3 linked regions of the Macaca fascicularis genome follow. The protein of the gene in region 1 purifies or fractionates together with the protein of each later gene. This does not show direct contact. Links are inferred from orthologs where the notes say so. Each region holds a gene or a part of one and is shown on either strand. Other genes may lie near its edges.

Region 1 (4,392 bases):
CAGAGCAGCCAAAGAGCTGTCTGAAACTGGCTATTGTCATGAGTGAACAATGAGGCCTGGCATGGGAATGGAAAGGAACCAAGAACAGACATGAAGGTCACAAGCAAAACCACCTAGGGCGAGGCCAAAAAGAGGGTGGGGGGATGAGGGGAAAATCTGGCTTGTAGCAGAATTAAAACAAAATAGCGAATTAAGTTTGGACATAATTCTTCTGATTAAATTTGAAGTAGCAGCACAATATTCACTTAGTAGGTATTTAATAATCAGAAATTCTGAGTTTGGAAGTCAGGAATAATAAAGTCCTTGGACCATGAGATCTTGGCTACCGCCACTTCCTGGGACTTTCCAATTTCACAGTACTCCGGACTTCAGTATTGTTATGTCATTAATGACAACATCTTTATTTTAATTACTTTTTTAAGAGATGGGGGTCTCACTATGTTGCCCAGGTTGGTGTCAAACTCCTGGGTTCAAGTGATCCTCCCCTGCCTTGGCCTCCCAAAGCATGCTAGGATGATTATAGGGGTGAGCCACCAGGAGCAGCCAATAAGACATCTAAGTTTGGGCAGATTTTTAACTTGCAAAATTATTTACTGAAGTCACTTCTGTGGCTTTGTTGTCTACGTAACAATGGAGTTTTATTCATTAGCCAAGAAAAAGGTACTTAGTTTTTATCTATTAGGTTCCAAAAAGGCAAATTTGTTTAAACATATTTAAGTTGGCCAGGCGCGGTGGCTCAAGCCTGTAATCCCAGCACTTTGGGAGGCCGAGACGGGCGGATCGCGAGGTCAGGAGATCGAGACCATCCTGGTTAACACGGTGAAACCCCGTCTCTACTAAAAAATACGAAAAACTAGCCGGGGGAGGCCAAGACGGGTGGATCACGAGGTCAGGAGATGGAGACCATCCTGGCTAACACGGTGAAACCCCGTCTCTACTAAAAAATACAAAAAACTAGCCGGGCGAAGTGGCGGGCGCCTGTAGTCCCAGCTACTCCGGAGGCTGAGGCAGGAGAATGGCGTGAACCCGGGAGGCGGAGCTTGCAGTGAGCTGAGATCCGGCCACTGCACTCCAGCCTGGGCGACAGAGCAAGAGCGAGACTCCGTTTCAAAAAAAAAAAAAAAAAAAAAAATCCTTCTTGGCCGGGTGCGGTGGCTCACGCCTGTAATCCCAGCACTTTGGGAGGCCGAAGCGGGCGGATCACCTGAGGTCGGGAGTTGAAGACCAGCCTGACCAACATGGTGAAACACCGCCTCTAATTAAAAAAAAAAAAAAATATATATACACACACACACACACACACACACACACACACACACAAAATTAGCCGGGCGTGGTGGCGTATGCCTGTAATCCCAGCTACTCGGGAGGCTGAGGTAGGCGAATCGCTTGAACCCAGGAGGCGGAGGTTGCAGTGAGCCGAGGAGATCAGGCCATTGCACTCCAGCCTGGGAAACAAGAGCAAAAAAAAAAAAAGGAAATCCTTCTCAGATCAGGGCCCGACGTCTGATGGCCAGCCGGGGAGCCGCTCTTGCCCAACTTGGGCGAGGTCGCCTGGAGGGCTTGCCAATGATCTAACGGCTCTGCGGCAGATTCCTCAAGAAGAGGTGCCTTCTCGAAATGAGTCACCGCTTACTGGGCCGAAGCGCGGGCCGCGAGTGCAGGCGAGAGGCGGGGGCTGCCGGTGGGGGAGGGGGTTGCAGCCTCGTGGGCATCTCCTCTCTCGCCGCCCTCCTCCATTTTAGGGAGGGCCTGGCCTCAGTGGGCACCACCGCTATGTCTGCGTCCATCCCAAAAACCTTACACTTGGCTACGATGGAAAAGCAACTTCCACTCCCAACTCCCGCTGTGCTAAGCGGCTCGCGTGTGCAGCTCCCGACCTTCCCCGACGGTGATCCTGCCCCGCAGTCTGTAATCACGTGTTGATCTGCACTTTCCCCTCCAAAGAAATCGGGACCCAGCACGTGCACCTCGCATTGTGCCCCCGTCCCGGGCCTCGGGGTGAGCGGGGGTGCCACTTCCCACCCAGGGAGTCGGCTCGCACGCGCCCCCGACCCCGCCACGCCGGGCCTGTTGGCGCGCAGCCTCCCTCTGAGGGGAAAGAGCCCCGCAAGCCCAGAAAAGCCCTGCGCCGCCTGCCCGTTGCTCAGCCCTTCCCTAATCGTTACCTAGCCGCTGGGTCTCGTGGCCTAGGAGAAGAAGCGGCGGGTGCAGCAGACACCGAGGTGAGTGTGAAGCCGGTGAGGTCTGCGAGGTCTATGCGCTCCGGCTCCCCACACCTACTGTCCGCGCCGCACTCGGACTTCCTGCCCAGCTAAGGCGGGCCCCACCCACTTCCCGCCTTCCAGACACGCCTCCTCAGGGCCGCCTCGCCATTGGTCGGGAAAGCCGTCACTCGTGCTCTCACCTCCCGGAAAGGGGTGAGACTGCGGCGGCTGCAGCCGGGAAAGGGGGGGTGACGACCCGCGGACGTGAGGCGGGCGGAGTTAGGGTGCCCCGACTACCCAGCGGCCCTGTGGTGGTGCGAGCGAAACTCTAGCCCCAGATAGGACCCGTAAGCCGAACTGAGGTGTGCGGAGCCGGGGCCCCGGGTGAGAGCCCGGGGCGGCGTGGCGGGCATGAGAGCTCGGGGCTCCGTCACGTACTGCGAGTCCCGCACGCACTCAGCGTCGCTCCGGGGCCGCGCGTCCGGCCCTCGACCTTGCTGACGACTTTGGCAGCCCGCGCCTGCCCCGGCCCTCCTGCCCCGCCCCTCTTGTCCTGCGCCGCGATCCGGGAGACCCCGTTGGCGTCGAGTCGTTGAGAGGCTACGCGCCTCGGCCCCACTCCGGCGTTGTGTCGCGGGCCGGGCCGCAGCGGTGCGCCTCCGGGGCCACGTGCGCCGCCTGCGCCTGCGCGCTGCCCCCCAGCCGCGCCCGTCCGGCCGGGCTCCGCCTGGCACCCGCCAAGGTGACCCTGTCCCTTTCTCCTTGCTGCGGTGAGAATCAGGCCGAAATAGCCAAAGGAAGGTTCACTTTCCTTTATTTCTACCTCATTTTTCTTGAGTGCCTCCTAGGTGTCTGGCGCGCCACCACCTGCTTCCCCAGTGTTAATTCATTCTCTAGCCCATGTTAATGTTGCATCTGAAATTTCACATCCCCCTCAGTCCCATCTAGGGAACTAGATCAAACCTACCTGGATTCTTGTGAACCATTCATGTAAATTATTTGGAACTGGAATTTCACATAGACCCGGGGAATTTCTCAAAGTTCAAGACGGGTCATATTCCATGGAATATGGAAGGAGTTGGTGGAGTGATTTCACCTTTTTGATCGAGAACTGATAGCCATTAAAACTCAGCTCCGCAATAGATCCCCCCGACTCCAAGGGAGGGCTGAAATGATCACTTCGTTTTCTGTTACGGTGACTTTTATATTTTTCAACATTATTGCTGGTCACTAAGAGAACTAAAACATCTCCTGATTTTCCTCATTTCCTTGCAAAGAGATGTTCAAATATGTACTTGAATTTAATTATTTCTTCTGGTCCGCTGCAAAAACTACTTTTCTTTCTTAACCCCTAGCGTTTTTGTCCTCTTAGCTACTGGCAGGTTTCCATGGCGTAGGTTAAAAGTGAAGGCCTACTAAGTACATAGTATTTGCTTTCCAGTGGGTAAGAAGCAAGAACTTTAGGATTAAATTCAGCAAAATGATAATAATAATAATAAAATTTTGCAAGCAGAGTTTGTGATTTCACCAGCAATACACTAACGTTTTTGGCTACTGAAAACCACTATCTCCAGCCCCATGACTCAGCAGCTAAATCAGCCAACATCTCCTGCTGTTAAGGACTCTAAGAAATCAGGCACTTGGTACTCTTACTTTCAGAGCAGTTCTAAGGCGTGGCCCTGAAAGGGCTCCAAACAATCTTATTTTACATTAAAATGGTTAGAGAGATAAAGATACTCTGCTGTGGCCAGAACCAGTAAATCTAGCAGGAAATGAGAGGCAGAACATGATCCCAGACTGCTGCTGTTGCAAGATTCTTGGAGGCTGCAGCACCACATTCTCAGCCGGCACTTCGACCTCACATTGTAGCTACAATGTTAATGATTACTGGAGATGGCCTGAAATCTTTTTCAAAATTCACAGGCTGCGAAATGCCTTCCCTGTTTCCATAGCTCCTTAGGCTTTGTTAGCAGGCTGTGGGGTTCACATTTGCTTGTAGTCAGCACAAGGGCATTGCATTTAGTTATTATTTCTCACTTGCTGTAAGCTTGTTGAGCAGGTTTATTGGTGGGGGGCAGGTGGGGAATAACTGTCCAAAGCTATCAGAATACCACACTTTGAAGCACTGTAGGTAGCACATGCACGGTGTCTGCAGGTGGCCAGCATCAAGGGAAAGTGAATCTAC
Region 2 (4,115 bases), about 940 kb from region 1:
ATTGTAGCAGGATTCAAACTTTTAATCCCCTACATAGGAGTCACTGCCAAATTCAGCAGATTCACAGAACTACAGACATACGAAAGGTCACCAGAATATAGTTCTCATCCTGGGTGTAGCCACTGCTTACCAACCTCCAGAGTAGGTGGGCCTCAAGATAAGGAAGGGATCTCTAGGATACAGTAAAGGATAGGGAGTTGGCCAGAAAAGTTTTGCTACATTCAAGTGTCTACCGCTGGGTGGAATATGGATTTTGCCTTGCCCGTTGAGAGAAATACTGGCATAACTCCTTGATCACTGTATGTTTCCAAAGTATTGGAATTTGAAAGCATTATGGAAACGGAATTAGAGAATTATAACCGGAAATATTACAGGACTCAACATTTCAACTCTTTTGAGCTTGGTGTTTTATGTAAGATCTCACTAGGTCCTCACTCACCTCTGGGCAGGCATTGCTATTCACATTTGCAAGTAAGTTATCTTAAAAGGCTTTTTGATAACCCCTGACTGAAACCCTAAGTAATGGGATCTTACTCTCACTTCAAGAAATAAGATGCTCGCTGGGGGCGGTGGCTCATGCCTGTGATCCCAAAACTTTGGGAGGCCAAGGCGGGAGGATCGCTTGAGTCCAGGGGTTCAATATCAGCCTCGGCAACATAGCAAGACCCCGTCTCTACTTCTCAGAAAGAAAATAAAAGAAATAAGATGCCATGGAAGGGATGGCAATAAGTGTTTTCCATAAACAACCGGAGAGAAACAAACAGAAAACGCTGTCCAAGCCACAGCCTTGCTTCCACACTGGGCTTTGCAGATTTTCCAATGAGCCACCAACGAGGTGGTTAAACCATCAGAGACTGCATCTGATTCCCCAATACACCAAGGCTCGCGGGATGGGAACAGGCAAATCGTCGTCGTTCTTTGCTGAGCCTGTGGGCTGCGGTCACCAGGACGAATCTGGCCCCAGCAGGTGCCAAAGGGCTCGACCTCCCGCCTTGCATCCGGCAGGCTGTACCCACCCCTCGGAAGTCGGCGAGGTAGCTGAGGCAAAGCGACTCCAGGGCGCAGAGACCCACACGCGACGCTCTAAAGGAAGTGACCTTTAGGGGCTGTTACTCTCAGGCCAAGCCCAGCAGCACCCGGCGCATTTACGACGGATCTGACCTGCAAGCTCCGACGCGACCGCGATAGCGGCTGGGAACACGCGACGGTCCCGCCCACTGCCACCGGCTCGGCCAATCCCGGGTGCCGCGTGCTGCGGCCGCCGGAAGTAGACCTACGACATGCGGGTCAGCCGGTCGGTTTCCCGCGTCCTGTGGGAGTTGTGTCTGGTAGGCCACGGTGGGGGTGCTTTTCACACTGGTGGGCGCAGAGGCAAAGCCGTTCCCGGGGCCCCTCACAGACTTCGGTGTCAGAATTTCCCCCTTGCGCCAGCGCCGCCTCAAATGTCAGGGCTCGCCCACTCTTCTCCAGTCTCACCGACCTAACCTTTCGGGGGCTCCAGAGGGGAAATTCGCCGTTTCTGCCGGACCTCTGTAGGGCGTGCCTGAACCCGGCCTTTATGGGATGATGTCAGCTACGTTTATTCAGTGCCCCAGAGGGCTTCTTTATGCCCAGTAACTACAGTTCAGATTCCTCCTCTGCTTCATTTTGTAGTTCGGTGAGATGAATTTGACGTGAGAAATAAGATTAAAATAGGAATAAGAAATTAGTTGAAATCACGTTGTAAACTGTAGAGTTCTGCAAATGTAAAATATTAATTTATAGCAATAAAGAAGGCTGTCAAATAATAGAGGGTAAAAGCAGGATAATACTTGGTCAGCATCTGCTGTGTGCCAGGGGCTGTGACAGATGCTGGGGATGCAGCAACCACCAAGACAAGAAGGTTCTCCCGGCGTTCACAGGACTGGGGAAGACGCAATAAATAACTAAAGGCAAAATGCTAGAATGATGCGCTCTCTCTAGATGAAATATAGAAAATGATTTATTTTTTATTTTTATTTTATGTTATTTTAAGATGGAGTTTTGCTCTTGTTGCCCACGCTGGGGTGCAATGGCGCCATCTCGGCTCACTGCTACGTCCACTTTCCGGGTTCAAGCAATTCTCCTGCCTCAGCCTCGCAAGTAGCCAGTACGATAGGCGTGCACCGCCACGTCTGGCTAATTTTTTTGTATTTTTAGTAGAGACAGGGTTTCGCCACGTTGGTGAGGCTGGTCTGGAACTCCTGACCTCAGGTGATCCACCCGCCTCAGCCTCCCAAAGTGCTGGGATGACAGGTGTGAGCCACCGCCCCGGCCAAGAATGATTTAGAGTGTTTACTTAATGAGATGCCAAATTTAAGAGCGACCCATGGAAAAACAATAACTTGGGAGCAGTTTTGTTTTTTTTTGTTTTTTTTTGTTTTTTTTTTTTGTTTTTTTTTTTTTGTTTTTTTTTTTGCCGCTAAGATCAGGATAATTCTGAGGGGAGTTGTTTTTTTGGAACGATGACCAGATGGCTGTGGGTGGCTATTACTAACACTGTCAACGCCATTTCTCTGTTATTGCCTTGTGACCTTCACAGGCAGAGCAATATTTCATCATTAAAAGTTGCAACTGCTACGAGAAGCTACGTTCCTTGAAAAAACGGCGTTTTTGGCCAGGCATAGTTGCTTACACCTGTAGTTCCAGCTACTTGGGAGACTGAGGCAGGAGGATCCCTTAAGCCCAGGAGGTGGAGGCCAACCTGGGCAACATAGCCAGGCCCGGTCTCTAAAAAAGAAATAAAACCGGCAGTTTCTTCCTTTGTACCTCCCGCGATGCATAAAGAGTTGTCAAATGTTGATTTAAAAAGGTAGTGGAGCCGGGCGCGGTGGCTCACGCCTGTAATCCCAGCACTTTGGGAGGCCGAGGTGGGCGGATCACAAGGTCAGGAGATCGAGACCACGGTGAAACCCCGTCTCTACTAAAAATACAAAAAATTAGCCGGGCGCGGTGGAGGGCGCCTGTAGTCCCAGCTACTCAGGAGGCTGAGGCAGGAGAATGACGTAAACCCAGGAGGCGGAGCTTGCAGTGAGCCGAGATCGCGCCACTGCACTCCAGCCTGGGCGACAGAGTCAGACTCCGTCTCAAAAAAAAAAAAAAAAAAAAAAGGTAGTGGATAGGATGGGGGCGGTTCTGCCTGGAAATTGGAGACTGAACTCAGAAGTGTCTTCGTTGTCAGTAGTACAGCAGTATTTTTTGGTAAAATTTTTTTTGGTTTTATGTGTGATGGGAAATATGCATGAACTGTAGAGTGTCTTGAGTGTAACTGACTTTTAATCGGTAGACAGTATATGGTGGGTAGAGTGTGAAATTTAGCATCAGTAATCTGAATTTGACCAAGACTGCAGGACCTTACACAGTCATTTCACCCTTCTGGACCTCAACCTTCACATCTGTGGAAGGAAAATTATAAGACCTGCCAGGAAGTCAATATATAAGGTCTAAAGATGATAAATGAGAAATAAAATATTAGCATACTGTTTCAAAAGACTGATATACTACCAGAAGAAATAATTGAAACAGTTGAAAATACTTGCTTCTGGGGAGCAGGGCTAAGGGGAAGGACTGAGTTAGAGGGCTGCTGCTGCATGGGTTAACTACTGCTCCATAGCAAAACCTGGCTGCTACAGTTTGCCACTGGGTTGTAGTAACTCTGCTTCAGGTTGTTAGCTGTGCAGGTTGGCTGGGGCCACTCTGTTCCACATGTTCATTCTGAAACCCAGGTTGAGGGAACAGCAGCAACTTGCCTGGGGGAAAAGCTCTTCCTACAGCAATTCAACAGTATAAGAGCACAACCTAATCATCAGGGCAGACTTTTCAAGGCTTTGTTCAGGTGTCTGTTCACATTCCATGGACCAAAACAAGGCCAAACCCAAAATCAAGGGACAGGACGTAGACTCCACCCATGCAGGGGGAAGGGGAGTGACTAATTCTGAAAAATAATCCAATCTGCCACAAGTAATACTTGACTTTTTCAAACCGTGCAGTGTATTCACTTGGTAAGAATTAATGCTGACTGTGGTCCATTTCAGGTCTTGATGGTGATGTGTATGTCTCAGGAATGTTAACTCCAGTTCATTCTCTCTGGCTCTCAC
Region 3 (3,646 bases), on another chromosome or scaffold:
TCAAGGGTGCTTTATATTTTTCTTGGCTCAATTTTTCCCCACTTTTATTTACTGTCTAAGTTATACCTCATTACTTTGTAATGTTTTTCAGAAGTATGGTTGAGGGGTATTTATTTTTCCTTATGAACTGCTTTGTTGATAACCTACCTATTGTTTAGAACTTAATAAATCATGTTAATTTATACTTATCTCAAACCCTTGTGAGATGAGAGTGGACTAGGCATTTAAATGTAAGTTTGAAGAAAAAAGTAGCCCAAGCAATCAGCTTGACCGTGTACTATATCATACCTTAATGATTCTCTAGCAAATATTTATTTGTATCTGTCCAGTAGAGAATATTTTCATGAATTAAGTAATTGCCACCTAAAAAATAACAGAAGAGAGTATGAAAACAAAAAAAAATCCATGTCTTTTAAAATGTCTTTTACCATGGTGCTTCTTGGCAAGTATCTTATAAATACGCCAAGTCAGATGTTAAAATTTTTTAAAGCAGCTTTATATTTCCATAGTGTAATATTAGTTTGGGATTTATTTCAGGGCCTTAATGTCTGTCTTTACTTGTCTAGAAGTAGCTTCACTGGCTCCTAACTACTGCCCTGGGGCAGATTCAGATGAAATGTGGTATGTAGCCACACCCAATACTGTTGGCATACTTTCATTGAATCTATTCCCATGGAAGAAACCCAGTTGCAATTTCAGTATTTTTTCATCAAAGAGACCAGAGCTATCATAATTGCTTTCATATCATGTTTCCTTTTTATTATATCATATTTTATATCATATGTTTGCTTTCTACATGTTCTTCAATTGCTTGTGCTTATATAAATTTATAATGCTTTGAATAAACAAAACTATAAATAGTGATGGGATCATTTTATACGGATGTGTAAAATAATATTTTCTGAAGAGCCAAACGAATAAATAACTTTACTCCAAATTTTAATGAGCTATTAAATTTTATTTAAATCACTTTTCCTTTCTACCCAAAAGTAATCATCTTAAGTGTTTTTCCAGTGTCTGAGAACATTAGTGGGACATACAGGTGGAGTATGGTCATCACAAATGAGAGACAACATCATCATTAGTGGATCTACCGATCGGACTCTCAAAGTGTGGAATGCAGAGACCGGAGAATGTATACACACCTTATATGGGCATACTTCCACAGTGCGTTGTATGCATCTTCATGAAAAAAGGTAAGGGAAAATCTTATCGTGGTTGGGACTTCTTCCTCTATTATTTGTGAATTTGGGCCCTTTCTGTATAGAGTTACTGAAATAGTGACAATGAGCTCTTAAATTACATTTAATTATTAGACTTCAGATGGTTCTATTCTAGGAAAGCCATAGTGTTTTGTCTTAAAATTGGGGATTGTCTGTAAGTTTCCTTTTTCATTTGCTAGTGTTGTCGGCTTCCTCTTTGAAGCTCTCTACTCTCTAATCCTTTTTATTGTTCTGTATCTTTGATGACTCATCATGTTCAAGCAGAAATCATTTTTTCTCTCTCTTTTTTTGATATTCTTACTTCTGCAAGTGGGACAAATTCAGGCTTCAAGCGTCTGAGCCTTTTTAAATTACCTACCCACCTTACACCCACCCTATCTCTTAAGTCTAGGCAAAGGCTGAGGCCTGTGAGTAATTTGTTCTCTCATTCTGAACTAGTGTCACAACTTTCTAACTTGGTCATCTTACATTTTATATGCTGACATACAGTCCTTTTATAATTATGATAGTGTCACTGCCCAGTTCTTAAGTCTTTGTGAGCCTACTGTTGACTAACGAATTAAGGAAGAAATCCTCAATCCAGTTTTCAAAATGGTGTCTGCCAAACTAGATTGCTTGACTTTTTCTTCTCAGTGCCTTTGCTATTACTTTTATCTCCTCCTGTAAAGCCCTCCTATTAAAATCCTATCTTTCTATTATCTTCATCATACCCCTGTTAAACAAGTGTGATTTCTGCCTCATTTGTCAAAAAAGGTCTCTCTGAAAGGTCCTTACAGTGAATCAATGGCAGTCTTTACCTTTAATTCTGTCTATAGCATCTTCTTATATTAAGAACCATTACATTAAGCAGATTTCACACCAGATTTGTAATATGTTTTCATTGTGTTCCATTGTGTTCTGACTTAAATCTCAACCCTTTAATTTTCTAATTTTTCCAATATGGAAACTGTGGTATTTCTTTTATCTCTTCAGAATGAATGACATAAGGATACCTGAGTTTTCAGCTTTGTTTTGTAATCCAAAAGTGATTACAGTATTTGCATATTGCTCTGGTTTTCAGGAGAGTGTAGCACTAATGTTGAACCACATGTTTAAGGGATAGCCATTGTTTTTAAAGATGTACATATCTTTAAAGATCCATATCAATATTTTTATAGCCTATTGCATATTTATAAATCTAATCATTAAAAGCATAAGCAGCCTGTGTTTGAGGACATGTCTAAAACTGGTTAATTTTTACTGGAATGTATAGTGTAAACACAAATCTGCAGCTGTTTAAATTCCAAATCCTGACTTGTTTTGTTGTATAACCTTTATTGAATTTTTTACCTAATCACAAGGGAATATATGCATCCATAATTGAAATTTTGGAAAATGGCAAAGAACATAAAGAAGAAATTTAAATTCTTTAAACTACTACCACCTAGAGTTCTCCCATTAACATTTTATACACATGCCCACATTAACATTTTATTTCTAAAATCAAAATCTTATTGTATATATTTAGAGGCAGCTACTGCTGCTTTTAAAAAAAAATACAGTGCAGTGGTTTTCAAACTCAGTCCCACAGAACCTCGAGGTGCTGGAACTAAGGTCCACAGGTCAGGGAACCAAGCATGAAGCATTCTAGGCTTCCCAACTTCCCATTCCCTTATTGTATGTTTATATACCAAGGTTTTACATAGGATTTCTTTTGACAAGAGTTGTTCCTGTGTAAGAAAAAGAAAGCTAAAAAACCTTGACTAAATCTATCATGTTTTCTCATATTATTAAAAATTCTAAACATGGGTTTTTTTGTTTTGTTTTGTTTTTCTGTTTTTCCCTCTGCAGAGTTGTTAGCGGTTCCCGAGATGCCACTCTTAGGGTTTGGGATATTGAGACAGGCCAGTGTTTACATGTTTTGATGGGTCATGTTGCAGCAGTCCGCTGTGTTCAATATGATGGCAGGAGGGTTGTTAGTGGAGCATATGATTTTATGGTAAAGGTGTGGGATCCAGAGACTGAAACCTGTCTACACACGTTGCAGGGGCATACTAATAGAGTCTATTCATTACAGGTAAGATCTCTTATCTGTCCCTTAAATGCTCTCCTGATGAATCATAAGGTTGTTTTACTCAGATAATCGCTGTCAAATTGCTGCTCCAGTACAATCCAAAAAAGATTAACCAGATTATTCTGCTGTTTTTATATAAATTTCAAAATTATTTAGATGCTTTCAATTTTCTGTGATCTATTTCTCCTCTAAATACAAATATTTGTCTTGTAACCTGACAATTTGGGACTCTAAGGTTTGCTATATTAATTAATGGTTAAATAGTCTCATAGGAGAGTAACCTGGATTTTAAGAAACTCCTTTGCAGAGGATTAATATGGCCCAAAGCTGACCCTTTGCTTTGATAGCTGAAAGTTGATGGACCATGTAA

What was found.
Region 2: the proteins of ENO1 (region 1) and PARK7 fractionate together in Homo sapiens (co-fractionation; 3 studies listed by BioGRID). This does not show direct contact. The link is inferred for Macaca fascicularis from reciprocal best matches to the Homo sapiens genes ENO1 and PARK7.
Region 3: the proteins of ENO1 (region 1) and FBXW7 purify together in Homo sapiens (affinity purification with western blotting; 3 studies listed by BioGRID, with this or other methods). This does not show direct contact. The link is inferred for Macaca fascicularis from reciprocal best matches to the Homo sapiens genes ENO1 and FBXW7.

What each region holds. Positions count from the first base shown.
Region 1 is NC_088375.1:225,981,222-225,985,613, reverse strand, and holds the start of ENO1 (alpha-enolase), read right to left. Parts: upstream 2,881-4,392; 5' UTR 2,646-2,880; intron 2,289-2,645; exon of another isoform or gene 2,169-2,288; intron 1-2,168. UniProt on the Homo sapiens protein: Glycolytic enzyme the catalyzes the conversion of 2-phosphoglycerate to phosphoenolpyruvate. In addition to glycolysis, involved in various processes such as growth control, hypoxia tolerance and allergic responses.
Region 2 is NC_088375.1:226,919,718-226,923,832, reverse strand, and holds the start of PARK7 (Parkinson disease protein 7), read left to right. Parts: upstream 1-1,260; 5' UTR 1,261-1,328; intron 1,329-4,115. UniProt on the Homo sapiens protein: Multifunctional protein with controversial molecular function which plays an important role in cell protection against oxidative stress and cell death acting as oxidative stress sensor and redox-sensitive chaperone and protease.
Region 3 is NC_088379.1:157,243,258-157,246,903, reverse strand, and holds part of FBXW7 (F-box/WD repeat-containing protein 7), read left to right. Parts: intron 1-1,014; coding exon 1,015-1,196; intron 1,197-3,053; coding exon 3,054-3,279; intron 3,280-3,646. UniProt on the Homo sapiens protein: Substrate recognition component of a SCF (SKP1-CUL1-F-box protein) E3 ubiquitin-protein ligase complex which mediates the ubiquitination and subsequent proteasomal degradation of target proteins.